Linked DNA regions of Canis lupus familiaris. The protein of the gene in region 6 interacts with the protein of the main gene of each other region in a pairwise test. Links are inferred from orthologs where the notes say so. Each region holds a gene or a part of one and is shown on either strand. Other genes may lie near its edges. The genes, in order: DPYD, CCDC102B, RHOQ, MYLK, VTN, GOPC and MYOCD.

Evidence for each region.
Region 1: the proteins of GOPC (region 6) and DPYD interact in a two-hybrid assay, tested with the Homo sapiens proteins (2 studies listed by BioGRID and IntAct). The link is inferred for Canis lupus familiaris from reciprocal best matches to the Homo sapiens genes GOPC and DPYD.
Region 2: the proteins of GOPC (region 6) and CCDC102B interact in binary tests that used the Homo sapiens proteins (3 or more experiments, as listed by UniProt). The two-hybrid records come from large-scale screens. The link is inferred for Canis lupus familiaris from reciprocal best matches to the Homo sapiens genes GOPC and CCDC102B.
Region 3: the proteins of GOPC (region 6) and RHOQ interact in a two-hybrid assay, tested with the Homo sapiens proteins (2 studies listed by BioGRID). The link is inferred for Canis lupus familiaris from reciprocal best matches to the Homo sapiens genes GOPC and RHOQ.
Region 4: the proteins of GOPC (region 6) and MYLK interact in binary tests that used the Homo sapiens proteins (3 or more experiments, as listed by UniProt). The two-hybrid records come from large-scale screens. The link is inferred for Canis lupus familiaris from reciprocal best matches to the Homo sapiens genes GOPC and MYLK.
Region 5: the proteins of GOPC (region 6) and VTN interact in binary tests that used the Homo sapiens proteins (3 or more experiments, as listed by UniProt). The two-hybrid records come from large-scale screens. The link is inferred for Canis lupus familiaris from reciprocal best matches to the Homo sapiens genes GOPC and VTN.
Region 7: the proteins of GOPC (region 6) and MYOCD interact in binary tests that used the Homo sapiens proteins (3 or more experiments, as listed by UniProt). The two-hybrid records come from large-scale screens. The link is inferred for Canis lupus familiaris from reciprocal best matches to the Homo sapiens genes GOPC and MYOCD.

Annotation. Positions count from the first base shown.
Region 1 is NC_049227.1:53,019,662-53,022,250, reverse strand, and holds part of DPYD (dihydropyrimidine dehydrogenase [NADP(+)]), read right to left. Parts: intron 2,133-2,589; coding exon 1,992-2,132; intron 1-1,991.
Region 2 is NC_049222.1:9,363,067-9,367,574, reverse strand, and holds the start of CCDC102B (coiled-coil domain-containing protein 102B), read left to right. Parts: upstream 1-1,535; 5' UTR 1,536-1,543; coding exon 1,544-1,611; intron 1,612-4,508. UniProt on the Homo sapiens protein: During interphase, forms fibers at the proximal ends of centrioles to maintain centrosome cohesion. During mitosis, dissociates from the centrosome following phosphorylation to allow centrosome separation. Contributes to CROCC/rootletin filament formation.
Region 3 is NC_049231.1:49,818,402-49,822,857, reverse strand, and holds the start of RHOQ (rho-related GTP-binding protein RhoQ), read right to left. Parts: upstream 2,991-4,456; 5' UTR 2,921-2,990; coding exon 2,779-2,920; intron 2,300-2,778; coding exon 2,241-2,299; intron 1-2,240. UniProt on the Homo sapiens protein: Plasma membrane-associated small GTPase which cycles between an active GTP-bound and an inactive GDP-bound state. In active state binds to a variety of effector proteins to regulate cellular responses. Involved in epithelial cell polarization processes.
Region 4 is NC_049254.1:27,354,607-27,358,407, forward strand, and holds part of MYLK (myosin light chain kinase, smooth muscle), read right to left. Parts: intron 1,190-3,801; coding exon 1,060-1,189; intron 1-1,059. UniProt on the Homo sapiens protein: Calcium/calmodulin-dependent myosin light chain kinase implicated in smooth muscle contraction via phosphorylation of myosin light chains (MLC). Also regulates actin-myosin interaction through a non-kinase activity.
Region 5 is NC_049230.1:42,589,709-42,594,159, reverse strand, and holds the start of VTN (vitronectin), read left to right. Parts: upstream 1-1,643; 5' UTR 1,644-1,775; coding exon 1,776-1,839; intron 1,840-1,932; coding exon 1,933-2,052; intron 2,053-2,128; coding exon 2,129-2,452; intron 2,453-2,532; coding exon 2,533-2,672; intron 2,673-2,929; coding exon 2,930-3,086; intron 3,087-3,267; coding exon 3,268-3,420; intron 3,421-3,834; coding exon 3,835-4,176; intron 4,177-4,412; coding exon 4,413-4,451. UniProt on the Homo sapiens protein: Vitronectin is a cell adhesion and spreading factor found in serum and tissues. Vitronectin interact with glycosaminoglycans and proteoglycans. Is recognized by certain members of the integrin family and serves as a cell-to-substrate adhesion molecule.
Region 6 is NC_049222.1:58,352,666-58,356,466, forward strand, and holds part of GOPC (Golgi-associated PDZ and coiled-coil motif-containing protein), read right to left. Parts: intron 3,582-3,801; coding exon 3,486-3,581; intron 2,218-3,485; coding exon 2,053-2,217; intron 1-2,052.
Region 7 is NC_049226.1:36,891,840-36,896,284, forward strand, and holds the start of MYOCD (myocardin), read left to right. Parts: upstream 1-1,441; 5' UTR 1,442-1,749; coding exon 1,750-1,804; intron 1,805-4,291; exon of another isoform or gene 4,292-4,445. UniProt on the Homo sapiens protein: Smooth muscle cells (SM) and cardiac muscle cells-specific transcriptional factor which uses the canonical single or multiple CArG boxes DNA sequence. Acts as a cofactor of serum response factor (SRF) with the potential to modulate SRF-target genes.

The DNA.
Region 1 (2,589 bases), on a different chromosome or scaffold from region 6:
TAGAAATACATTGTTTAAAATTCCTTAGAGCTGTTTTTCTCGGAAAATATTTTGTGACAGTGACTCTCTCATTTCCTTTGTTCTAGCAAAGCGCAGACCCTTCCAGTTCTATCAGGATGGGCTGTGGGCTCCCGGAGGACCCTGGGGTGCTTTCTCCCCTCACACTCCTTGTTCTCAACAGTGAAACAGTGTCACCGGCAGATGGGGGCCATGAATGTATTTGCTTGGATTTCAAATTAAGCATGTAGTTTTAAGAAGAAAACAGTAGTTAAAAAAAAAAAAAAGTTGGCATTAGTGCCAGTATTGAGGTTTGAGGATTTTCAATTAAATAATTCTTTGATTCTGATCAAGGATCAGGATATGACCCTGTGTCATATAAAATGCGGTGTAATCCAATTCAAAGCAACTTTTTTGTTGTTGTTAAAAAAGTTTCCCTCCCCCAGGCGAAGCTACTTGTAACTATAATTCTTTCCTCTTTTATGCACATAAATGTGAAAATGGTTTTATTAAATTATGTCAGACTGCTTAATATAAAAAACCAGTCTGATCCTCAAGGAAACAACCATATTCTATCAGAACAAGAACTGTAGATAAGACAAACCAGAAGAAACTTTGTCCACATAAATCGTTGCCATTTTAAAAAAGAAAACAACATCTTGGATGGCTGTTTGAATGAGTAAAAATTATTTATCTTCCTTATGTACCCTTTTATAAATAGAACCCCAAGAAGCAATTGAAAATAAAATGATTGTATCTTAAAAATCTTATCCTTTAAAAATTTGCAGACATATGAAACTTTATAATCAGTTGAAGATTTTGATTTTCTATTTTTTATCTTTTTGAGAGAGAAGAGTCAAAGGAGGACTTTTAAAATCTTTTTAAATGCATAATTGTGATTCTTTTTCCCTCATTAATAAGGGTTTGTTTGTTTACTGATGTGCCAAGGTTAGAATTCTAAGGTAGGAGTCATAACTTCTAAGATTTGAGGTATTAGAGCCCTGCCACTATGATTTTTGTGACAGGACTTCTTGACTCACCTCTAAATGGTTAAAGGGAAGGTGAACGTGAGTGTGATGGGATTAGCATTTCCAAAATAACTGTTAGAGACACCTTTCAGCTACCAAAAAAAGTGACACATTGGGTAAAAATTTGGTATAGAACAAATGTCAAATTAAAGAGGAAGAGATTTTTAAAAAATTAAAATGTCTGTTATATCTCTATTAGGCAGTCAGAGGAATATGCAAAATCCTGCCACAAGCAACACGGGAACTTCGTCCAGGCTGAATAAGTTAAATGAACTTCAATTTTTTAAAAACAGGGCATTTTATCTACCTTGAAAATTCCATTAGTCATCTTAAAAGGTATTATTTTACTCTATTTCGTCACAGCTTGAAAAGTTTAATAGTTATTTTTTTTGGTATTGTCCCCTGGCAGCCTCCCAGCTTAGGGGTGAGGAACTGGCTCACTTCATGTGGTAAGACTACAACTTGCTGGCTTCTCTAGTCACAAAGGAATTCCGGGTCCCCACATTTCATTTCCCCGGTAAGAAGGTGCTTTTTCTAGTAGAAGCCCAGTCAATATTGAATGGAAGAGAATTCTCTTTTGGTGGAAAGAATTAAGGCCTTCCAGGGTAATGGCAATACGTGGTAGTTCTTTTCCCTCTCTGTAGCAAAGCGTAATGCTTCCTAATGTACATAATTGTGTGGATTTCTTTTTTTGGTTGGATCTTTCCCAGCCAGTTTTATGGGTGATAAAATTATATTAAAATGACACTGTTCACTGGATAGTGGCATAGGTAGTAGAAGTGATGGCTTTCCTTTAAAAAAAATTCCTAGGCTCAGAGAGTGAGAGGACAGACACGCCGCTGCTGAGGGGTAATACTGGGCATGTCTGGTCTGCATTGCACACTTAGCAACAACACAAGATGCTTTCTGCTACACAAGCCAGAAGAAACACGCCTCACAGCATCCCAATTACAGCAGAATCCTTACCTGGTAGCCAGAGTCATTACAGGTCATGTAGCATTTGCCACAGTTGATACACATTTCTTCATCAATCATGGCCACAACTTGTTCTAGGTTGCTCAGTTCACCAAATGCTCCAAGGTACTGCAGCGCTTTTCCAATTACATCCTAAAACATAGGCACCGAATTACTGACAGTGTGCATTGTAAAAACAGTACCGTGCAATAAATAGTATCAGCCCAGATTTCTCTGATTTTTATAAAATGTTGTATTATGTAACTTAGGAGGCTTCCAGGAGTGTAGTTCCCATAGCTCTACGTTTCATAATTGTAGAGTACATTTTTTTTTGTCCTTCTAAAAGATGGGCAAAGTATGTGTGTGTGTATACATATATATCTCCAGCTTAGAAACACAAGACCTAATTGACTGCATTCCATTGGTTTTCTTTTCTTTTTAAGATTTTATTTATTTATTCATGAGAGACACAGAGGCAGAGACATAGACAGAAGGAGAAGCAGACTTCCTGCAGGGGAGCCTGATGCGGTACTCGATCCCAGGACTCCGGGATCACGACCTGAGCCGAAGGCAGACGCTCAACCTCTGAGCCACCCAGGCGCCCCTCCAT
Region 2 (4,508 bases), about 49 Mb from region 6:
AGGTAATTTACATACGTATCTACAACTTTGATAGTTGCTTAATAGAATGAAATTCATATCACATATCTTCATTTTACACGAGGAAATTTGATGTTCCGAAATGTAAATGATTTCTCTAAAGCCACAGATATAGTACGTTCTGGAGCTAGGTTTCCAAATAATGTCTTTCTGGCTCCAAAGCTTTTCCACTCTGCTCCACTGGTATTTTAGGAATGTGAGTCTGGCAGAAGTTGAGCAGAATGGTTTGGGATGGCGTTGGGGTAATAGCGTGCAGGGAAGAGACAGTGAGACGACATCCGTAAATCCAAGCTAATCACAATTCTCTCAGGTGGTCCACTCTTACTTTAGGGAATAGACAGAAGAAATTGATACTGAAAATAAGCAGTTTTTATACTTAAATTGGCGATTCTCATATTCAACACTTAGGCTTTCCTCTCTTTTATTTTCTTGAACATTGTATTCAAAGAAGATGTCTTTTGATTTCTCAGAGGAAGTTTAATCACTGATTTTCATCAAATATCACATATTCATAAGAGAAACGCATGTGGTTATTGGAAATGATATTGGGAACACACTGGCGTTCTTTTGTTTGTTTATGATGAGTGATATGAATGGAAAGACCCCATGATTATCATGTAAGTTTTATTTGAATGGGTGAAGAGCATATATAAAATTTATGTTGCTAATAGACAATGCAGAGTACAGTACATCAGTAGTAAAAAGAATAAGCCCCATTTAACATTTTTCCTCGTATATCTAAACTTTAAATATATTTAACTTTTCTCTAAATAGAATATTTTATAAATATATATTATAACTATATATATATAATAGTGTCTGTGCTCTCATTTTAGAAATGTACGATCTACTGTTTTAGAAGTTTATTGTCATTTAAATAGGCTTTACTGGAGTAATGCCTTTTTGCCATATGCCCAAACAGCTGAAGATAGTTGTAATGTAAAGATTCATTCCTTTAAATATATCATTAAGAAAACAATAAGTATACTTGTCAGCTCAAATACTTTCATCACTGACCTTAGGTTAGGACATTTCATTTTAATTAAACAGATCTAGGCTGTTTTCCAAGATTCTATTTTATAGAGAGTCTTTTACATGTTCAATACCTGGTCCTCAGTGTTTGGTCCTCAATGCCCTGATCAACTGTTGATGCACAATTGTTATCAAGTATTATAAAATAGAAAACTGGTTATCTTATAGGAGGAAAGCAGCCTATCAAAGAGAAGATGGGTTGTGCTCAATACCATTCTATTAAGGTCATAGCTTTGCAGATTACTAATATTTTTATATATTTAAATACCTGAGTGACTTGCATATGATGATATTTACTATGAGTTGCTGTTATATGTAGAAAAGATAAAAGAATATTTGCTGTTAAAAACTGATAGAAGGACTTTTTTTGGTAGCTGAATACAGAAGTACCCTTTTGAATAAAAAACATATTCATTGCAGAGCTTTTAAATGGTATCCTATAATCCTTGTCTTTAATTTGTAGAATTAAAGCCCTCTTCCCCCCAAAAAATAGATGTGCTGGAGTACTACCATATCAGAGGCAGACCCACCAGAGCAGAATGAAGAGCACCATTCAGAGAGGTAGGAGGAGACCCATGAAAGAGGAGTCTTTCAGAAGCTAAGTAAATGAGTCATTGCTGAAAGATGAAATGGCCAAGTTATATAAAATGCTACTGAGTGGTCAAGGAAAATAGGAGTTAACTGTTAATTAGATTTTGCAATACAGAAGTTATTGATTTTCTGTTTTTGCAGAGATCTAGGCTTAAAAACTGGTAGAGTGAGTTCAAGAGAGAGTGAGATGAGTGAAAATATCTTCTAATGGTTTTTACTATAAAAAATATCAGAGAAATGTGATGGTCCCTGGATGGAGATCAAGATGATTTTTGTTTTTCAGGTTGAAGATATTATAGCATGTCCCCTTTGCCGATAAGAATGACTTAGGAGGGAGATTTAATTTTATTAGAAAGGAGAGAGAGAACTCTATTTGTAGGAGTTAAGTCTTTAAGTCAGCTAGTGGGGATTCAGATGGAACCTGCAAATGGAAAGTTTGACTTTAGGGGCAAGGATGATGTAGAAAGAGGCTGAGATCAGGGTTACCACAAGGCTGATAAGTGTGGTAGAGCCAGAGAATGGTAGTTGTCTTTTGATAACTTTTTTTTTTTTTAAAGTGAAACAGAGGGAAAAAAAGAATAACTTCATCAAGAAAGATGGAAGAGTTAAGGAAGAAGATGGGTGGAGTTTTGGAGAATGGGAAAGTGAAATGATAAGGGAAATGGAGTAGGGTTGGCTGTGCAGTGCTAAGGGCTGATGTGATATTCAGAATCAAGAATTGAAGTGAGACCTGAAAGTAAACCATGTTTTCTCTAAGTATTAGCAGATGCTCAGGTAGGTGCCTATGTGGAACAGGCAGATAGTTGAATGCCAACCAGAATTGGAGTTTTCTAGGCAATAAGGTTAAGAGAATGCCAATCTAGCTGAGCATAAATTGTTAATTAATGGGGCTTGGAAAAGGGAAGGAGTATCAATATGAAGTAGGTAATAAATGGTTAAAAGATAATGGGATCAGTTAATAGGAGGTCCAAGTTAGGTCAAAGAAGAGAATTTTGTGGACCACAGAAGGTAATCAAAAGGGTGCTTAACATGGAAATGGAAGAAATGCTGTATGGTAATAGTATCTAGGGTATATACCAGCCAGTGGGTGCATGAGGTAGAACTATTGGAATTGATAGGAACGGAAAGATGAGAATATTGTAAGGATACTGCATGTGAAAATATTTTGGACATGAAATTAAGTTTAGTTCCATTACAACCAATTAGTACCACCCTTGGTTTTACTAGATACATTTTATTTCTTATTAGTAAATGTCTTTGAATTTACTTAAATGGGAAAACAGTCCTGTTATAAAAATACATGGAAAAACATGGTGTTTTATATGTGGATTATATTATGGTAAGAAGATAAATATCCACAAGTGGACACTAATTTTAGTACCCATTCCCATGCTGAGACTAATTTTGTTCATAATTTCCTCCACTTACCTTCTTATTTTTTTAATGCATCCATCGCCTCATATAGTTACCTATTTATTTATTTTTTTTAACTTTTTAAAAAATTTTATTTATTTATGATAGTGAGAGAGAGAGAGAGAGAGAGAGGCAGAGACATAGGCAGAGGGAGAAGCAGGCTCCATGCACCGGGAGCCCGACGTGGGATTCGATTCCGGGTCTCCAGGATCGCGCCCTGGGCCAAAGGCAGGTGCCAAACTGCTGCACCACCCAGGGATCCCCTATAGTTACCTATTTAAAAATGTTTAACTGAAGTGTAGTTGACATATAATATTAAACTAGTTTCAGGTATACAACGTAGTGATTCAGCGATTCTATACCTAATGAAATGCTCACCAGGATAAGTGTATTATGATATTATTGACTGTATCCCCTCTGCTGTCCTCTATTTTTAATGATGTTTTGCTTGGTCTTACAGACTGTATTAGAGAAGGATCTTCAGGGAACAATAAGATATAGACATAGAATTTTTCACATCTAACGAATTGTAAGCCCATAATTTTTCTCGATGTTCATTATATTGCCAAAGTTTTGGATAAAGATTAAATTATATTTGCAAATGATGGTCAGAAACCATGAACTACCTTTATTTTAATATTTAATTTTTTTTTTCTAAAAGCCAGGCTGTCTAAATAGCTTAAAATAAATGGGATTTCTTTTAAACTTCTCAGATGAGAACGTGGAACAGTCATATCCAGTGTTTTGAATCATGGCCATTTTATTTTGATGTGACTATTGTAGCATCTCCTCTTCTACATTATGTGACCATGTGGCAGAGAATGAAAATGTTCTGTTCATTTATATTTGAATGATAGCTATGATGCTGATGTGTATTTACATTATCAATAGAATGCATTTTCAAACATATATTTGAAAATAATATTATTAGCAATCATCTTAGTTTGATGCATAAGTGAGAAGCCTCTGTAAGACAGAGATAGAAATTTTGTGAGAACACACTGAACATAAGTTTGAAAATTCAAAACAAAGTTTTCTATTTCTGGAAAATTCTCTATGAAAAAGAAAAATCCTTAAATTTTTGGGTTGCTCTAGAGTAGAGCTATGCAACAGAAGTAGTGTTCAAGCAACCTTTACAATCTGAAGTTACATTTAAAAAATAAATGTGGGGCACCTCAGTGGTTTAGCACCACCTTCAGCCCAGGGCCATGCTGGAGACCCGGGATCGAGTCCCATGTCAGGCTCCCTGAATAGAGCCTGCTTTCCCTCTGTGTCTCTGCCTCTCTCTCTCTCTCTCTCTCTGTCTCTTATGAATAAATAAAATGTTTAAAAATAAATAAAATAAAAATTTAAAAATGTGACATAGATTTTAATAACATATTGTACTTAACCCAATATCTTTAAAATATTACCATTCTAAAATGTAACCAATATAAAATTAATGAAATAGTCTA
Region 3 (4,456 bases), on a different chromosome or scaffold from region 6:
ACAAACACCAAGGGGCCCTAAAACACATCTTGGCCAATAGAGTAGGTGTCACATCATTGGGTAACTGAACCTTACTAATAGTTTGATACCGTTTGGTATGTGTCTTCCCATCTCCACTGGACACAGCAATCACAATAACTTATGGGAAGCCCTGGTTTTGTGCGTGGGTCCAGCTTCGGGTGATGATTTGGATCTGGGTTCTTTCCACTGTAGTGGTAGTGCATGACTGTCACTCAGAGAATGGCTGTCCAGATTCCAGGTACCCAGGTCTACAGACCCACAGGGTTCTGGATTAATCAACCCAAGTGGCATCTCAGCCTTTCCAGTGGCTTCCTGTGTGTATAATCACCTCAAACCAGAGCAAATTCAGACCCATGTCCATGTCCCAGCAACACCTGTCCTTGGCTATGTGACCTGAGGTCAGCTACCTAGCCTCTCTGAGCCCCAGTTTCCCCATCTGCAAAGACAGTATCACTTTGCTCATGGGGTTGCTTCTTGGAGAAAATAGTATTTGCATGTGGCTGCCCCATGCCTGACATGCAGAAGGAACTTGGTAAGTATTAGTTGGATTTGAATGCGCACAGAATAGGTCTGACATATACACATCCTGTTGAATAGGCTCGTGGTCAAATGAATGGTCATGGTAACAAGTTAAAGGAGAAAGGGGAAGAGGCGGTAGTGAGAGACGTTAAAATTAGAGGCGGTGTTTAAAAACTTCTCTCCTTTTCAATCCCAAACTTCAACCTGTCATTTATCAAGTGTACTGTTCAAAAGTCGGGTCTTATTTAATTGACTGGGTTCTGCCTTTTGCCCTCCACACGTTCTGATAGAATAAAGTAACAGCTACAGGGCAGGCACCCAAAAGGGGCCCTGGCAAGCTAAGAACTTGTACTGACTTGGGTTGGTTTGGAGAAAGGGGACAGCCCCTGCCACCTGGCCCTGCCAACAGTTTCTCTATCCTCAGATGCTCCTCTAACTTAACAGTTTAGAAGCCAGAAGCCACATCCAGACACCGTCTGTAAGACATTCTTCAATTCAACCTGGTACCACAACTCTGAACTCCAAATCTAGAAAAGCTGCAAAGAATAGTTCCCTTCTATTGAGCATCTCCCTGGGTGCGCCAGATTCAGTGCTAAGCGTCTGGCATATAATATGTGAACAGAGAACTTTCTGAAGCCCATTTTATAGATAAGGAAACTGTACTCCTGGAGATCCCCCAAGGCACTCTCTAAAGCCCTCAGCTGTTCACACGTCCTCAAGGACTCAAGTCTGCATGACACGTGAAAAACTTCTGCCCAAGGTTTCACGTCTAATCACAGGGCTGGATTCTGCAAAACTTCATTATACGTAATCATCCCAGCCCCACAGCAAAAGTGAGCCTGGGAAGAGAGACAGAGAGGAAGGAGACTTTAATCCTTTAGAACCAACCTCCGATTTGCTAATGGTCAGAGGCTGCCAGGAGGACTGTGCCGTTTTCTTTCTGCACAATAATCTCTCTCAAAGAAAACCCAGACAAAGTCACCTGGCCTTCCCAGAGAAGGGTGGGGGCGGGGGGGGGGGGGAGGGGGCTCTTCCTCCAAGATTCATACTCCTAACCCTTCCTCCTCCTCCCTACCCCAGGGAGTGGCTGGATGGTTGTTGTTTCTTTTCTTTTCTTTTCTTTTTTTTTTTTTTTTCCCCTGTGGTCCTCTGGTAACACCACAAATTACGTTTGCAGGGACTCGAGTCCCAGAGTGCAATGATGTTGTAATAAACATAACCAGGACCAAATGCCTTCCCATCATATTAGATGATGCCATTTTGCACCAATCAGGCTCCTCAGGCAGGCAGACCACTCACCAATGAGGGACCAGACAGAGGCTGTGAGGGGGAGACCTGGTCATCTGCAACTAAAAATAAGGGCGCTTCATGATTGGCCGCTGCCACTTTGCAACAGGAGTTGGGACCCACACACCAGGCACCACACAGAAAGCACACACAGGCAAAAACTTTCACAGCCCAGGGGTTCACATGGGGTGGGCTGGGCTGGGTTTGTTGTCGGCTTGTGTGTGTGTGTGTGTGTGTGTGTGTGTGTGTGTTTTCCTTTTCCTAATTTGCTGACTTGAGAAAAGAAATAAAGACTTGATCCAGAGGGGCCCCTCGAAGACACACCCTCCCTCCGAGACACCTCAGGGTGCATTTGCCGCCAGCCTGAATTGAGGAGAGGCAAGGGGGTGTGGGCCAGGGGCCAAGACACTCACCTGTCCGGCCGTGTCATAGAGTCCCAGGAGGTACTGCTTGCCCCCTACGGTGACGCTGACTGCAAGGACAGAAGCGGGGGCGGGGAGAGAAGCTCGGATTATCTAGGGTCTGGGGCCCTCCGGCTCCCCATCAGGACGGCTCTGTCGGTCCTTCCGGAGGCGTGCGGCGCTCCCGGGAGGTGTCACCCCTCCTCCCCAGCGTCGGGCTCCCTGCCGAGTGGCGGGGGGCCGGGCTGTGCTGTGGCCCCAGCTGCCCACCCGTGGCCACGGCTCGCCGGTGCCCCGAGCGTCCCCCCAGGGGGCGTGGGCCGTCGGGAGGAGGCCGTGGGAAGGTCAAGGAGGTCGTCCCAGGGCGCCCGGCGCTCGGGAGGCGCGGGGGGCCGGGAGCGGGCGCCCCGAGGCCCGGGGGTGGGGCCGGGAGGCGGCGCGGGGCCGGGCGGGGGGAGCGCGCCCGGGGGAGGCGGCGAGGGGGCTCCGCCAAAGTTGCTCCAAAGTTCCCGGCCGGGGAGCGGCCCCTTAGTCAGCAGTTCAGCCTTACCTGCGTAGTGGTCGAAGACGGTGGGCACGTACTCCTCCGGGAAGGCGTCGTTGGCATAGCTCATGAGTAGGCACGTCTTGCCCACCGCCCCGTCGCCGACCACCACGCACTTGAGCATCAGCGCGCCGGGCCCGTGAGCCATGCTGCGGCCGGCCGGCCTCCGGGCATGGTCCCCCCGGAGCCCCCGCCCCGGCCCCGGGCTCAGCCCCAGCCCGCCTGGGGGGTCCGCCGCCGCCGCCGCCGCCGCTCCGCGCAGCACGGCCGCCCCCCCGGCCCCATGCAGCGGCGGCCCCCGCCGAGCGGAGGGGGCGGCGGGCCCGGGGCGCTGCCGCCGCCTCGGCCGCTGCCCGGATCCCCGCCCGGGCCCCGCTCGCCGCGCCCGCCCGCTGCCCCCGCCGCCCCCGCCGCCCCCGCCGCCCGCCGCCCGCCGCCCGCGCGCTCCCCGGCCCGGCCTCCCCCGGAGGATCCGCTGGATCATAAGACCGGCCGGCCCCGGGGGAGACGGCAACTTTGGGGAGGGCGGCGGAGGGGAGGGGCCAGGCGGCTCTCCCCGCCCCGCGCGCGCCCGGGCCCCTCCCGGCTGCGCCCCGGAGGAGGGCGGGCCCCGGCGCCTCCCCGAGCGCCTCCCCGAGCGCCTCCCCGAGCGCCGCCCGCCCGGCCCCCGCGCCCCGCCCGGCCCCCGCGCCCCGCGCCCCGCCCGCCGCCGCCGCCGCCGCCGCCGCCGCCGCCGCCCGGCCTGGCCGCTCACCCTAGCTTGACTCCCCGCGCGGGGCGGGGGCGGGGGCGGGGGGCGGAGCCGCGGGCGGGGGAGGGGCGGGGGCGGGGCCCGGAGCCCGGGAGGAGCCCAGGGCTCGTCGCGCAAGTGCCCGCAGCGCCCGGAAGCGTCCAGAGGCCCCGGTGCTTGGAAGAAGCCGAGGAGGCCTCTCGGGGTACCACGACCACTTCGACGATGACGCAATAGTCGTGCAAAATTATGCAAATATATTTAAACTGCACCCGGAAGGCAGGATCCATCCTATCGGGCCCTAAGTGCACAAGGGAACTAGAAATCGGGGTGGGAGAAAGGGTTAAAAAAAAATTTTTTTTTTTTTTAAGGCGCGTGGGGCGGTGGGGGAGGTGGCGGTGGTCCCACAGCTCCTCGCCTGGTTCCCCATCACCGCACGGAGCCTGAATCATCTACTTTGAAACCGGTGACTAAGGGAGTTACGGCGTCTTGAACCTCCGAAGCAACCCCCAGCCAGCCAGCAAAGGGAGACCCCACGGGCTCCGGATGCGGCAAATATCCCGTGCCTCGCACCGTTCTCTGAGGTCCCCTTGCGGCCCAGACTGTCCTTCGAAGGTGTTAGGCTGTGATCTCAGAGGAGTGACACTCTTGCTCTGAGATTCGGCATGTGATGGGTGGGGGGGGGGGCAGCCGCTGCCCCTGCCGCTGCCCCTGCCCCTGCCTGGGCCAAGCTTGGCCAGGTCCCGTTCGCCAGCCTCTAGTGATGCTTTGATCCTTAGGCATGGGTGGGGGAGTGGGTACACACCACAAAGACACCACGCCCCTCCCCCTTCTCCTCCCCACCCCACCCACCCCCACATGTGAGAAATGGCTTGTTTTCATTGATTCACAAAATTGGAAAATGCTGTGTTGAGAGGCTTTGCGGAGATCAACTGGACCATCTCCCTTAGCTCT
Region 4 (3,801 bases), on a different chromosome or scaffold from region 6:
GGAGTTCTGGTCCCCATGCTTACGCCGCCTTCACAGTGTATGACCACGGACCAGGGATTTATGATTGGTCCGGGGATAAGCTGTACTTGGAGGGGACCCTGTGCCCTCTGCCTTCCCTTCAGGGTCACCTGGGGAGCACGGATCAGGAGGGAGCAGGCCCACGTGTCGCAGACTGTGCCCCTGGCCCCATCAGAGCAGCCCGGGGGACACGCAGCCTGCCTTTAGGCACAAGAGGAGTCTGGCCCCTGCTTCTCCACCTTGGGACACGGAAAACACCAAGCAGCGGGAGGTGGGGGGGGGGGGTCTCTGGCCACATGAAGTGCCTCCGGAAGACCAGGGCCAGAACCCACATGCACCTGGAGCAGGACGAGGCCAAGGCCTTCACTGAGGAGCTGGCCAGGGCAGCATGTCGAGACGGCGCAAGCGGCTGACCCTACCGGTCTGCGGAGGAGCCCTTTCCGCACGCTCCACCCCATTCAAACGACCCGCTGCACCATCATGAAAAATGCCCAAATCAATAGGGACTGCAGTTCATTTTTTTTAAAGAAAAACACAAAGAATATGGACGGATATTTTTTAAAAAAGATAGTGCTCTCTGTGATTTTTATGTTTGCCTATCCAAATACCAAGAGCACTTTTGTAATGAGAGAAAAGGAAGCTTTTAATGAAGTCTTTGCTGATTCTTATGTGAAATATGGAGAAAAGAACAGCCGAGGTCAGCTGTTTCTGTTAAATAACTTTCCCTCTGAAAACAGTTAAGGTTGGACCGTTAAAGAGGAACCAGTAGACTGTAATAATTGTTGTCAGGAGGCAACCTAAAATTCATTCTGAATTTAACCCTTGTCGTTTATATTATTAAAAAAAAAAAAAGAAAGAAAGAAGAAAAAAAAGAAAGAAAAAAGGAAAGAAAGAAAGAAAGAAAGAAAGAAAGAAAGAAAGAAAGAAAGAAAGAAAGAAGAAAAAGGAAAAAAAGAAACTCCCCAAAGCCTCCACATGTCCCTTCCGTAACCCCTCCTTTCTCGCCGACTGGCTAGACAAGAATCTTCTGGAGCTCCTTACCTTCAGATTCTAGTTTTTCTGCGTTGAGCGGGCTGGTCGGTGATCCTGTTGAGGATTTCCTGCCACTGAGCCCTGAGATCATTGCCATAGAGGACAGTCTTCCGATGGCTCTCACAGCATTGCCCGTTTTCTGGAAAATAGGCAGCGGGGGTTGGGGTCGGGGTCGGGGTCGGGTCGGGGGAGAAGGGCGCGGCGGGAGCGCACTGGGCCCGGAGCGAGGCCCCGCGAGCCGAGGTGCCGCGAGGAGCGCCCAGCCCTGCTCTGCCCGCGCGCTCCGCGTGTCCGGGGATGTGCGCCGATGGAATGGGGCCCGGAGCGATGTGTGCGTTAATGTGACTAAACAAGGTCAACATGAGACAAAAACCCTTTCATACTGCGCTTCAACTCCCATAAAAGGGATAGTTTATATAAAGCAACTGCGGGCTGAGACAGCTCCAGAGACTCCCTGCTGACGGGCCCGGGGGCTGTTTCTCGTAAAACAATGCTGCTGATAGGGACCGAGCGGGAGTTAGCGCAGGACCCAGAAAAGGCTTCCTACGGACTTGGGGCAAGTCCCCTACCCCCACCCCCCGCTTCACTTTCCTTCTCCGTGTAAGGGGGGCTGCCCGAGGTGACCTCCACGGTCTCATTAGCTCTGTTCATGATTCCACACTTGAGGGCCTTCGAGAACGGCTCTGACGGCCCGAGTGCGGGATGCACGGGCCTTCGGGGCAGCCTCTTGCCCGGGCCCGCCCAGGCCTCGAAAGCGAGGCCCGAGGACATGCGGAGCGGCGGCTGCTTGGCTTTTCGGAGGGGAGAGGCCTCGGGGAGGACAGGGCTGCCGCTCTCCGATGAGGAGGCCAGAACCGGAGGTGAAGACTCTGCCAGGCGTGGGCCGCAGACCAGGACGTGGCCCGGGCCACAGCACCGGGCCCGGGTTGCCCCTTCGCCCTCAGGTCCCACAGGCCCGGAGGTTTCGGCCCCTTCGCACGTCAGTGCAGCGGCCCGGGAACCGCGTGTGTCGGCGTCCGGGGCGCCCGGGGTGTCCAGGTGCCGTGGCCCGGAGCGCCCGACGGGTAGAGCCCCCCGACCTGGGGCTCTCCGGGAGCCGGGCTGTTTCCATCACGGGCACTAAGGACTCATAGCGTGTGCACGCGCTTCACGCAGAGAACCGTGGTGGCCGCAGCCACTCCTCTGTGCCATGTCCCCCCCCCCTGCTGTGGACTCTTCGTGCGCTCCGGACGGACGTGCCCCTCCGGCCATGTGCCCCTCCGGCCACGCGCCCTTCGGCCCGTATCACTGAGCTGTGGTCACGTTCCCGGCCCTCGGTCGCCAGGCTGAAGCCGCGTCACTGAACAGAACCCAGGCAGCCCCGGGTGGAGGTGACTGGCGCGGGGAGAGGCACCGTGGCCCTGCAGAGAGCGTACCCGCAGGCCGGGCGCCGGCAGCCGCGCACGCTGTGCTGGGACGGGCCGCTCCCGGAGACCTCAGCCGTGTGTCTGGGTGCCAGCCTCGGCAGCCCTCCCTGTGGCGTGGACCTCAGACCAGGCCGTGCCCCCGCAGAGCCAGACTCTCGGACCCAGCCCTTCTGGCGCTCCATTCTCTTTACCCAACGAGACCGGTTGGCCTGGGCCAGGAGCCTCTCACCTCAGTTCATTCTGAACAAAGGGACGTCACTAGGCAAACCAGTTCCCTCCTGTGCACCTCAAGTTCTTGAACCAGAAGATCTGACTCTCCCTACAGAAAGCCTGTCACGCACACACGTGACGGTGCAGCAGGGAACACTCCCCCCGAGCCCATGGGTTCCCCAATTCCAAACGCCTGGGTCGTGACCGATCAGGACTGTCTTCACTTGTGCGGTGTGGAATAAGGAAGTCTTTCCTCTTCTTTTAACAAAATGACGAGTATGAAGTTGCCAGAACAAGGCAATAAATGAATTAGAATATTCCAGAGAAGGGAGCCAATACACATTAGCAAACAAATAGGCTACAAAGAGGGGTGAATTTTCTATCAGACGTAGTCTTACAGCATATACTTTCTAAAATGGGGAAAAGTAAAATGTGCTTAATAAGGACAATCTTAAAAATAACCTACATCAGATTCAATCTTTGGGAACTGATTTATGAGAAAAAAAAAAACACAGTGGAGAAGTTGTCAGAACTGGAAAAGAAATCTGTCTGTATGTTCTAGACTTCCAGTTTCATGCCTTTGAGCTAAAAACTGGTTGCTGCTCTACAAAGACACTTAGAAATCTTTGGAACATCAAGAAAGGAAGTTTCAATTCGCTAAGTTCCATCCTTATTTTGAGAAAGTCTTTTCCTTGTGTGAGGACAATTGCCAAGGCTGGGTCCCTGGGCTCCAGGCGGGCAGTGTTTGTACTGGCCTCCCTAAGGCCACACAGGCTCCCTCCCTTGGGAGAGCCAGCGAGCGTGACTAACCAGCCTGGGTTGCCTGGACTGAGGGGTTTCCCAGGATGAGTCTCTTTTGAGTATAAAGCTGGGATGGCCCCTGGCACACTGGGGCCAGTTGGTTACCCTAGAGCCAGCCAGCCATCACAGACCCTACGTAGATACCAACAGCTCTGAGACTCTGGTTTCCCCTGAGAAGTGCCAAGACTGACGGCCAAGAGTACTCTCTGCTACGTAGAGTCAAAGTTTTCTTCTCTCTGGGCCCATGGTCCACGCTGAAGTCTTTGTGGGTCTCAGAAAGTGAAGACGGCTGCCCGGAGGCCTCTAGTTCCTAGTCCTCTGCCTCAAGTCTTAT
Region 5 (4,451 bases), on a different chromosome or scaffold from region 6:
GGCGGGACCCGGCGGGCGACCCGGGACTTGGGCAAAGGGGGGCAGGACAGAGGACCAGGGAAAAGATGGTGCAGGAGGCAGGGAGGGAGAGGAGGCGGCCCACCGGGCAGGGCGCCGGCCAGAAGTTGGGGGGAGGGGCGAGGGCAGGATCCCGGACGGAGCTTTTGGGTAAAGGGAAGCGGCCCGGAGGCAGGGGGTGGGCGGAGGAGCGAGGGGGCTGCGAGGGATGGACCCAGACGCCTGTGAGAAGAACAAAGCCGGGCTCCGGCCCAGTGTGGATCTGCAGCAGCCCCGCCCCTGAGAAGCCGCAGGGGAGCTGACACCCCGCCTCTCGGTCACGTGGGACCCCCCGCCCCGCCCCGCCTCGCCCCCAGGCCTGTCCTCAGCCACGCCCACGCCCTGCTTAGGGGATGGGGGAGAGGGAGGGAGGGAGGGGAGGGGAGGGGAGGGGACGGAGAGCGGAAGGGAGGGGGAGGCCACTCGGGGGAGAGGGTGCCGAGCCGACGACCGCCTCCTTCCCCTGCCACCCCCAAACCCCGTGACACTGCAACGTGAAGGCAACACAGTGGAGCGGGCCCCCTCCCCTAACAGTGGTTAGTTAAAGTGATCCTAATAACGATGCGGTACAACTCTCCAGACCCTTTATGCCTCTTTCTCAAGCCTTATGACAGGCCTACAGGGTCGGTATTTGTGTTCCCATTTAACAGCTGAACTGACTAAAGCTCCTAGAAAAGACGTAGCCCAAAGTCACACACCCTTCTCTGATTATGGAACAGAAAGACTCAGTTGGAAACTCTGAGAATCATTTTCTTCCAGGTGGTGGCAGGATTTCAGGAGGCCCATGGACCCTTGACAGTGGGTGCAGAATCAGGCCTTCTGTGCCAGGGGTATTTTCTGGAAAGAGGGATGCTTATCTTCAAGAGTCTAAAAGTGTGGAGAAGGAGGCTGTTCTTTACCACAGGGAGAGTGAAAGTGGAGACAGGGAGCAGTGCCTGCCAAGGAGCAGTGAATTAGTGAGAGACCAAGGAATCAAATCCAGTCCAAACGGTTACCATTCATCCAATTTGCTGCTCTGTGAGGCCCAGCTTGGGAAAAACAATGCACCCAAGAGTAGAACCTAAACATGAAAATCTGTTTTTTTTATGATTAAAAATAAAAATCCCCCAGAGTGCTCACCAGCATTCCTTCACCCCCCCTTTTACCACCCTAAATACACAATGGGTGGGTGAGACACTCAGTCAGGGATGCACCTGATCAAACAGATCACAGACAAATAACCATTTATGGAGAATGAAGTTGGCGCTATTCCAGGCACCAGGCATTTTGTCTGCTTTAGCTTGTGTAAACACCCCCACCCCCAAAAACAGGACACAAGGCAGGTATTAATCTCTCCTTACCAAAAAGAAAGCCAAGGCAGGTAAAGCAGTGTGCCCATGGTCACACAGCCTGTGAGTGGCACAGTGGCCCTTCCTTCTGTCCTTCAGACCCGCTGTGCTATTCCCCTCCTGGGATGAGATTGAGCTTGGCAAGGATCCTGTTCACAGTTCTCCCAGGCCCAGAGTTCCAGGAATGTGACCCTTTGTAGTGCAGCAGCAACCTCTGGGGTCCAGGGTACTGGGGGCTGGGCCAGAGATTGAGCAAACAGAGCAGCAGACAAGGCAGCTCCTCTTTCTGGTTCCCTCCCTCCCTGTCCACACCTCTTCCCTCCCTTCCTCAGGCATCGCAGTGGAGACCGCATAGAGCCCAGTTCAGGGCTAGAAGCTAGCAGCCCTACCATGGCATTCCCCAGGCCCCTGCTGGTGCTAGCCCTGCTGGCATGGGTTGTTCTGGCTGACCAAGGTACAAGAGGGCGCTGGTGACTATTTGGGCCAGTGAAGGGTGGGCAATGGTGGTCTGGGCTTGGCCATGCCAACTGACACCTCCTCCCCACAGAATCATGCAAGGGCCGCTGCACAGAGGGCTTCAATGCTGACAGGAAGTGTCAGTGTGACGAGCTCTGCTCTTACTACCAGAGCTGCTGCGAGGACTACGTGGCCGAGTGCAAACCCCAAGGTGCGTCCAGAAGGGTTGGGTGGGCCTGGGGTCCCCTCTGCAGCTGGAGACTCACCACCACCCACTCTGCCTGCAGTGACTCGTGGGGATGTATTCGCTCTGCCAGAAGATGAGTATGGGGTCATTGACGATCATGAGGGGACCAGAGAACAGAGCGTCCTCACACAGCTGGAGAGTACCACCCTGAGCCCTGGCCTACAGGCCCAGTCTGAAAAGTTTCCTGCCCAGGTACCTATTCTGATCCCTGAGGAAGAGGCTCCAGGACCCGGGCAGGGGACCTTAGTGCTTGAGGCCCCTGATCAAGACATCTCTGAGTCCGCAGCAGAGGAGGAGCTATGTAGTGGGAAACCCTTTGACGCCTTCACTGACCTCAAGAATGGCTCCCTCTTTGCCTTCCGAGGTGATTCCAGGGGCAAGTCTTGGTGGGTCAGGGTCTGCCCCCGGAACATCCCCTCCCTCACACAGCCTCCTGCACTCTAGGGCAGTACTGTTATGAGCTGGATGAAAAGGCAGTGAGACCTGGGTACCCCAAGCTTATCCGAGATGTCTGGGGCATTGAGGGCCCCATTGATGCAGCCTTCACCCGCATCAACTGTCAGGGGAAGACCTATCTCTTCAAGGTACCAGGGCCAGGGGATGTGGGTCAGGGTCACGGGTATCTAGGCAGGGGTTGAGGGCTGCTGTGCCCAGGACTAGGGTGGGCAAGAAGGCTGGATCCTGGCCTGTGGGCCCTGGCTGGGCCTCTTGAGGATGGGGAAGCCCGAGGCTCTGGGTCCCCGGTGACAAGCCTAGAATTGGGACTGCTGCCTTGGGTGGGGCACTCTGCCTGTGCCCAGCCAGCCACCTCCGCACTCCCTCCTCCTTCCCTGCCCCTTAGGGTAGTCAGTACTGGCGCTTCGAGGATGGTGTTCTGGACCCAGATTACCCCCGCAACATCTCTGAAGGCTTCAAGGGCATTCCGGACAACGTGGACGCAGCCTTTGCTCTCCCTGCTCGCAGCTACAGTGGCCGGGAGCGGGTCTACTTCTTCAAGGGTATGAAGGGAGTGGGTGGGAGAAAGGCAGGCAGTGGGGCCGTCTAGGTTTGCCTGCACACTTCTGGAGGGGCAGAGTGGAATTGTGCTCACCCCCTGCCAGGAACTCCTATCTTCAGCAGGTTGGGGCTGCCTTTCCAGCCTTGCTCACATGCCTTCCCCCATCCCACTTCCCCGCTCAGGGAGACAGTACTGGGAGTATGAGTTCCAGCAGCAGCCCAGTCAGGAGGAGTGTGAGGGCAGCTCCCTGTCCACCGTGTTTGAACACTTTGCCCTGCTGCAGAGGGACAGCTGGGAGACCTTCTTTGAGCTTCTCTTCTGGAACAGACCCTCTGGTATGGAAGGAGGGCAAATCTCACTTTCTCCCACTGGGATCCCCCAGGTAGGGGCAGGGCACAGCTGGCCAGAGGGGGCTGTGATTGCAGAGCTACAGATCAAAAGCTGTTTACTCAGGCCAGACTTTGTTTCTGTTGACTTTTGGGGGGAGGTCCACCCAATCCCACACCTCGGACTTTGCCTAGCACAGCCAAGGGCACAGCTAGCAGGAGGAGGGGCTGTGGCTGAGGCCAAGTGGGGAGGGATGAGGTGAAGGAGGGCCAGGAGAAAGAGCACCAAAGAGGGAGTCAGAGGGCCTGGGCACTGTGCTCTGCCATGAGCTTGCTGTGTCCTTCGGCAAGGCACAGCCCATCATTGGGCACCAGATGAACTCTACATGTTCCCAAGACTCATTAACCCATTCTCTGCCACAGGTGGTGCTGGAGAGCCCGGGTTCATCAGCCAGGACTGGCCTGGTTTGCCTAGGCAGGTGGACGCGGCCATGGCTGGCCGCATCTACATCTCAGGGTCGGCACCCCGATCCTGGGTCAAGAAGCTGAATCCTAAGCGGCGCAACCGTAAACGCTACCGTTCACGCCGTAACCGTGGCCGAGGCCGTAGCCGGACCTCCCAGCGGCAATCCCGCTCAGCCTGGCTGTCCTGGTTCTCCAGTGAGGAGAGTGGCCTAGACACCTACAACTATGATGACTACAACATGGACTGGCTTGTGCCGGCCACCTGTGAGCCCATCCAAAGTGTTTACTTCTTCTCAGAAGGTGGGAGCCTCTGCCATCCCCTGTAGCTGGTCTAGCTGGTCTTCCCTCCTGTCCCTGATCCTCATGGGCTGAACATGGCCCTTGGGTGGTGACTCCAGAAAGCCAGGATGTGAGCCCTTAGCTGCATTTTGGATGTTCATCTACCCTTCCAGGAGAGACCTGGGTCTTCTTTCTTAGGGCAGGAATGGGCAGGGCCAGGCTGGCCCTCACACACTCTCTCCTGACCTCTCTTCCAGACAAGTACTACCGAGTCAACCTTCGCACACGGCGAGTGG
Region 6 (3,801 bases):
CTCTGATTAATTCAAGAAACCTCTACACAATGATTTGTTTCTTACTGAATAGGTCTTGAACCTTTATGTAACTTTCACTGAGTACTACAGTGTTAATAAGTAATTATTTTATTAATTGTGTAAAACTGTATCATTCAATCCTCAAAATTTCTCTATTGCAGTGCAGTATCTTTTACATGAGGCAGAAACCTGAATTATTCTGCAAAGAGCAGATAATTTTCCCAATATGATGAGCATGTAAAATAGAAAAACATTACTCCAAAGCCCTTGGCCTTTCTACTAAACAAAATGTGTAATATTTGGGGGCTGCTGGCTGGCTCAGTCAGAAGAGCAGATGACGATTGATCTCAGGTTGTGAGTTCAAGCCCCATGTTGAGGACAGAGATTACTTAAAAAATAAACTTAAAAAAATATTTAAAATAAATAAATGAATATTTGTACTGCTATTCTTTTTTTTCTTTAAGATTTACTTATTTATTTTAAAGAGAGAGAAAAAATGCAAGCCAGGGGGAGGTGCAGAGGGAGAGGCAGAGAGAGAGACTCTCACGCAGACTCCCTGCTGAGTGTGGAGCCCAACATGGGGCTCGATCTCACAAACCTAAGATCATGACCTAAGCTGAAACCAAGAGTCAGACACTTAACTGACTGAGCCACCAAGACGCCTGCCTCATACTGCTACTCTTTAATAAAACTTATGTTCAAGCAAAAAAGATTATTTTATGTTTAAAAAAACATTCCAAGTCATTTAATGAGACTACAATCACTACACACAAGCCTGGCATTTGCAACTCTGATTTTTTTTACTGCCACTAAGTCAGTCTGTTGGTACTATGCATTCTCGGCAGTTTAAGGTTATGTTTCAGAATTTTAATAGATGCTTAGCATTTCTTTAAAAGCATGTGACTGAAAAACAAAAACAAAACAAAACCAAAACAAAACAAAACAAAAAGCGTGTGACTGCCCCTTTGTATTTCCTTTACCACAGCTGCCATTCATCTCACTCTTATAACGACTGGATGTGGCCAAGTTGGGTTGAGAAAACACTAACTGAAAGAGGTTAGGGTTACATTTTTCAATCTCTCTTAGCAGATAATACTTTAAACATCCCATTTTGGGGAGACAGAGGGATAATGCTGTGGTATTCAGTAAAGTTCTAGATTAAAGAATTAGGTCTGTGGGCAGAAGTCATGGATCCAGCTTTTAGGCTTAATATGAGGAAGACCTTTCTAAAAAAACCGCAATGTACAACTATAGAATGGACTACTTTATCATCAACAAGTCCCCCCTTAACATAAATATTTAATCAGTGATACTGTAGAGATTTACGCAACGTATGTAGTTGAACCAAACGAGCTATAAATTCACTTTCAACTCAGATTCAATTCTACACTGATGATCCAAACACATCTCAATATACTATCAACATTTCTCTTAATTTCTTCAACCTTACTCTTGAAGAAAAAAACAAATCAAAAAGTCCACCTTAAGTAAACAAACAGGAGTTGGGGGTATGAATCCCAACTCTACTAATTTCTCTGCAACCTTGAGTGAATTATTTAATCCCTAAGAACCTCAGGTTACTAATTTTAAGTAAGAGGGTTGGGCTAAATGATTTCTAAGGACTCTTTCATCAGTTCTAACATTTATCACTAAAACCAATCTGCTCCTAGCATTGTTTTTTCTATAATACCATCTACTTGTATAGTGTTTTAGTCATTACTGATGTTTTGCTTTCTGAGTACCAGGTCCTGTTCTGAGCACTTTATATGAATTAACATGCGTAATCCTTGCAGCTCTCAGATAAGGGCACTGTAGCAGAGCAGAGGACTTAAGTAACTTGCTCAAAGTTATAGAGCTGTGGAAAAAGGCAAATAAGACCTTTTTCAGTAAATCTGGACAAATGTCTTCTATAAAAGGCCCAAATCAAAGGGAACTGGTATCTACATATAAACACTTTACTACTTGAGAAGCCTCAAGTTGAAGTATAACATTCAGTAGATTCAAAAAGAATCAACCAATAGATCCAATTTTAATTACATAAAAGGAACTTACCTGCTGGGAAAGAATGGTTACAGCTTCTTTATGCTTTGTGTCCCTTAGGTTAACTCCATTAACAGCCAGAATAGCATCTCCAACATGTAGTCCTCCGCATCGATCAGCAGGTTGCCCTGGGTGGATCTCAGAAATGAGGATTGGAACACCATGTTCTTTCCCACCCTAACAAAAAAAAAAAAAAAAAAAAAAAAGGCAGTCAATTAGTTTACTCTTTGTACAGTCACAGACTATTCTAATAATAAAATATCTTCTTAAAAATACATTTCAGTATCTTCTATGAACACTGAGTAAAATATTATTTGCTATCTAGGTAATGGTAAATACATTCTTATGGGTATCAAAGAGTTATCTCTGAATAAAACAATAACATACATTTCTAAAACACATTCCAAAGCCAAAAAAAAAAAAAAAAAAAAAAAAAAAAACCAACCCCAAAACAAAAAACTACAATTGGTTAAGCTTTAAACAAAAAGTATTTTACATATTACATATTAATAGTCCACAGCACTATTAGATTTTATCAGATCAGAATCACTATAAATAACAAGGCCTACCATTATTTTATGTACTATAAAAATCATTTTAAGAGTATAAGAGGAATCTCAATTTCAGATATTAAAATGTGAAAAAATATGCAACATGGAATTGATGAAATTTGGTAACTTTCACTTTTTAGCTCATGTTATAATTATTTGTGTGTGTGATATATGTGTATTATTTCTCCTAAAATTTATGCTTTTTGAGGGACAGTGCATTCACAAAGGTAGGTAGGTAGGTATTCAATAAATACCTACCAGGTAAACTTATGATAAAAGAAATTTCCATATTAGGCAGTACCAAAATGCTAGTGAACTCACGCAGTATCTAAGTATTACCAAATGAAAGAGTAAAGCCATCTTATTCATTCATCTGGAACAAAAGCACTATAAGGACAACAAAACGACTCCAAATATATGTACTTATAATAGGCTGCTCTCGGAAATGCTGCCCAAGACAACTGTTTGTAAAGGCATCAAATTTAGAAAGGAAGACTATTTGGACTCAAGGGCCACTGAAAACTGACAACAAAGAAATGAGACAAGAGAAAAGAACAATACAATCTGGAGCCATTTAATGTAGAAGAAAACAGTCATATCCATTCTCAAAGGCTCCTAGTGGCAATCATAGGATATTCCACAGAACTACAAACCAAGTCATAATGAAAATGCTAAATTATGCTTAATAAAGTTATAATTTTACTAAAGTAATACTTCATAGTCATCAGGAAGATTTACATACAAAAAGTTTACACAGAAGTGTTGGAGCCCAGGGGAATAAATTTAGTTATGGAGGGGATATATCCAGAATACTTGTTTCCCAAGGATGTCCAAAGGGGAGCATGATTATACTAGTTAACTACAAAAGAGGAGACTGGAAGCACTACTTCTTACTGTAATTGAAATGCCAAGGCCTTCATGATCTTCCTTAAGGAGGAGAACTTTTCTAATTGGACCAACACCCTGGCTTTTCTTTAGAGTGTCTTGATCCTTATTGGAAGAAAAAAAAGAAGAAAAATTAGTATTACTTAAACGATATATCATCAAATGGAGTAAACCCATGCTATATAACTTGCTTTTAGAAATCTTCATTAATTTCCTGGAATGGATATACAGTAAAGTGTTAAGAAAATAATAGATAAAATAGAAAAATAAAAAGTTGTTCTGTTAATATAGTGAAATGGATGGATGACCTTCTTTTTCAGGTTCT
Region 7 (4,445 bases), on a different chromosome or scaffold from region 6:
CCTGAGCCAAAGGCAGATGCTCAACCACTGAGCCCCCCAGGCGGCCAGCTCTGCCTCCCTTCTGAGGCAGGAACTGAATGGCCTAACTCAGAAAGCCTTCTGTACACAAATCACTGGTCAGATCCAAAGCGTGAGGGCGAGGCTCAGAGAATTCTGGCAGAGGTCTGAACTCAGGGTGCTGGAATCTGTCCTAGGAGCTATTGTCCTATCGGGTCTTCACCTGTCACCCACTGACCTTTCAAGGGTTGCGTTCTCCTGAGACCTAAGCAGTCATGTATGTGATCCAGGAGACCTGGGGCCCAGGCGCATAGAAGGTTGCAAGTAAATTCAACCCAACATCACGTAGGTACACAGTTTGGGTTTTGTTTTTGCTGCTACCACCTACTGAGCAAGCTTCTTGAAACTAGAGTCTTCATTTTAACTCCCCAGGAGCCTTCTTTGCTAATTTGGAGCCCCTTCAGAGCAGGCAAAGCTTATAACCGCTGGCACATCCTAGATGTCCAATAATTCAGTTGGGGTTCCGATTACCCCCACCTCACCCCATCCCACCCCCTCCAAGGAGGGATTCATGCGTAGGAAAAGCCTAGAGCCTTTGCAAGCACAGCCCGACCCCAGCCCTGACATCCCCTGCTCCCAAGACCCTACGGGATGGTGGGGGGCACAGGGCGTCCGTTCCCTAATGTGTCTTTCCCACCACCCAAGAGGGAGGGCCTCGCGTCGCGGGCTGGATCTGCGCGTCCACAGAGTCGGGTTCATCCCGGAAAGTGCGCATCCCGGGAAAACGCAAGGCTGGCTTCTCAGCGGCTCCGCGGCCCGCTGGCCTCTGCCTGCGCCCCGAGGCCCGGGAACGCGGGGAGAAGTTGGGAGCGCGCCGCGCCCGGAGCCCCGCTCGCTTCCACGCGCCCCGAGGCGCGCGCGCGCCCGTCCTGCCCGCCGGGATGGGGGGGCCTCGCACCCACCCCCCGCGCCCCCCACGCTCCCCGCGCGCGCCCGTCCTGCCCGCCGGGATGGGGTGGGGGGCTCTCACCCATCCCGCGCGCCCCCGGCGCCCCCTGCGCCCCCCGCGCTTCCCCCGCGCCCTCCCTTCCTGCCCGCCGGCATAGGGTGGGGGGCCTGGCATCCACCCGCCTCCCTCCCCGCGCACCCCTCGCTCCCCGCGCTCGCGTCCGTCCTGCCCGCCGGGATGCGGGGCTCTCACCCACCCCGCGCGCCCCCCGCGCCCCTCGCGCTCCCCCGCGCGCTCCCGTCCTGCCCGCCGGGATGCGGTGGGGGGCCTCGCACCCACCCCGCGCCCCCCCCCCGCGCCGCCCACCCGCGGGGACCCCGCTCCCGCCGCTCCCCCGGCGGCCCGGGCCCCGCTCGCCGCCCCTGATTGGCTGAGCTGCTGTCAGTAGTAAAAAAGTATCAGATGGCAAACTTGGGCCCTTCATAAAGGCGCGGTGGCGATCCTCGGCGCTCGCTGGCAGCCTATGACATCAGCCGGGCACGCCTGGGATGCCGCCGCGGCCGGGCGGCCTCGGAGCAGGAGGAGGGTCCCGCCCGCTGGGAGTCAGTTAGCCCCGCGCAGCGAGGGGGGAGCCGCCGGCTCTGCGGGGACGCGGGGTCCTCGGTCCTCCTGCCCCGGGCGCTCCCGGAGAGCTGGATGAGTTCTGGGTCGTTAGCTGCGCTCAGCGGGGCTCCCGGGAGCCCGATCCCGGTGGAAGACAGGGGGCGTCTGGCCAAGGGACCAGCGGCTCGCTGAGCCTCAACATGACACTCCTGGGGTCTCAGCACTCTTTGCTGATTAGGAGCAAATTCAGATCAGGTAGGGCTAAGGCACTTAGCAAATCCTTGCTGACTTTCCTCCTCCGCACCTCGCCACCCTGGACTGCTTTCCAACCAGCGTCTCGGAGCCGGCGCTTGGCTCCTGCCACTTGGTCCTCCCAGAGCACATTTTCGAAAGTGAAGACTTTTATTTGACTTTGGGGTTGGGAGGAGGAGGGGGTGGGGGACTTTGATGTCTTCCGTGGTCGATGCTTTGAGTTGCCGGATGCGATTTGTTGTTGTTGTTGTTGTTTGGTTGATTTGTGAAAAGGCAAATTCTTTTATTTCATCCCCCACCCGCACCCCATATCTGTGAATAGAAATTTTGGAAGGGTACCTCTGAAAGGGCCAACTTTGAAAATGAACAAATAAGGGATTTCGAGTTTGAGAGCTACATAATATCAGTTGTAACCGCTGAGAAGATGAACCTGATGCTGTGTATTAATAGATACAGGGTCACTTAAAATGTAGCTAATCCAAACAAATGTATTTCCCAAAAAAGTCACTTGGGGGAAGTAAAAATAGCAAATTTGGAGCACACCAAGTATTTAGGATGACATCACTGTAGAAAAAAAAAAAGTCCAGTGCCACAAATATTTTTTCCCAAACCATCTGATATTTATAAATGGAGAATTTCCCCCCAAATTTCTGTGTTAGTGGCGCACAGAGAAACTTCTCAGAGAGGTCGCCGGGTGAAGGTGAGTGGAAGGGACAGCCGGGAAGTGCAGCGGCTCCCCACCAAGGGTTGGTTTAGGCGCCCACAGAAGGTACCAGCGTGTGGGTCTCCCCATTTAGACAGGGAGACACTCGCCGCCTTAAGCTCTTGATCTCAGTAGCACAGTGTGTAATACTGGTTTTATAAAAGTGGTGGCAAACCACTCAATAAATGGCAAAATTTCTACCCAGAAGGTGGATTACATTCCTACCCGAACACTCCCTGTAACAGGTGTTAGCAGGATGCGGGCCTCGTTTAGGATGTTCTCAAAGCTCTTGTAAATGGGACCACTCGGTGTTACTTTCACCTGAGATTCATGTTTCAAAAATGAGAAGCATGGGTGTGGAGAGTGAGGGTGGTCTGCGACCTCCTTGGGCGCTTCTGGCTTTTAGATGTCCGTGGGGTCCACTGGAGGTTTCCTAAGGCTCTACGCTGTTGCAGGGAGATGACCCTTCTGGAGCTTCTGTGGCTGGTTGGTCATCTCTTAATGAGCTAGAGACTCTGCCGCTTTGTAATTTGGTCAAAACCGCAAGGCAACACTGCCACCTTTCTGAGGAAGAGAGGATACGGATTTGTTTTGCGGAAAGCCACTGCTCATTTCAGTTGCACCCTTGGCAGTTTTTTTGGGTAGGGGAGGGGCTGGTTTGCCTCTAAAAGGATTTGAAGTACTTGATAGTAAAATCGCAAAACCGACTTATGGAACTAATCAAGGCATCCTGCCTTGGGGGGGAAAGTGCAGAGGAAAAGGAAGACCGTGTTTTCCCTGTTCCTAATTCCTGTCTGTGGGTCAGTGGAGTCCTGGTGTCTCCTAGGTAGACACCCTGGAGCTTCAGAGAAGTCCAGTTGCCAACTTGCTTTCTCTTTTTTCTTTTTCTTTTTTTTTTTTTCCTGAGCTTGGACAGGCTTTTGTGTCACAGGAAGAGTAGCTTCAGGAAAACATGAGATATCCATGCAGATAGGAACATGCTTAACCCTCCACCTTTTGATAATCGGCCAAACTGGGGTCTGGAGGTGGACAAAGTGCTTTGGTCATTGGAGATGCAAGGGGTTGATAATCTGCACAAGCAGAAAAGCGAGCAGCATGTGCGGCTAAGTAATGCAGTGTTGCAGACCTCGATGATTCTTCCTGGATATAATTGCAAGTCTAGCTGCACCACCTCAGACCTTGGCTAGACGGCCTGCTTGCTAGCAAGAGGGCCTGCCTCTTCCCAAGCAAACTCCATTTATTTTGTGGCTAACCGTGGGCAGGGAAGCCTCTTCTGTTTTGATTTGTGTTCCTGGCTTTTTTCTTTTCTTTCGTGAGCTACTCATAATGTAAATTCACTAAACTCTCCTGCCAGTGTTTGCTTTGATGATAAACCCTGGTGTTACTTATTTAATTAAAATTATTTCAAAAAATAAATGGGACTAAGCCACAGCAAGGCAAATTATTTCAAAAATAAATGCAAGTAAGTTGTTCTCTGATCTCAGCAAGGCACCCCATACTGTAGGGCCTTTTTAAAAGTGAGCAGATGACCATTTTGATTCTGAAATTGGTGTGTATGGCAGCGACGTCCAACCGGCTTTCTGTAAACCGTGCTCGAGTGACCTTGGTATTAAGGATAAAATCCTGCTACAGGAGCAGCAAAGTGGGAAATTTTACATGTGTTAATATATTTAACGTTATAAACTCCTCTTATTTGAGAGGCTGTTGTGGGGTTACATGGTTGAGTGTGTGAATCCTGAGCCAAGCTCAGGATTGGATTTTTTTTTTTTTTTTTTTTTTTTTTGCAGGTGCCTCTACTTTCGAGCTGTATAAACTTGACCTTGGATAGATTTCATAATTCCCTCTGCCGTGGTTTACTTCACCCAAATAACGGTGATAGGGTTGTTGTGACGGTTGACTGTGATACCACAAGCAGGGCATTTTAAAAATGCCTGGTACTTG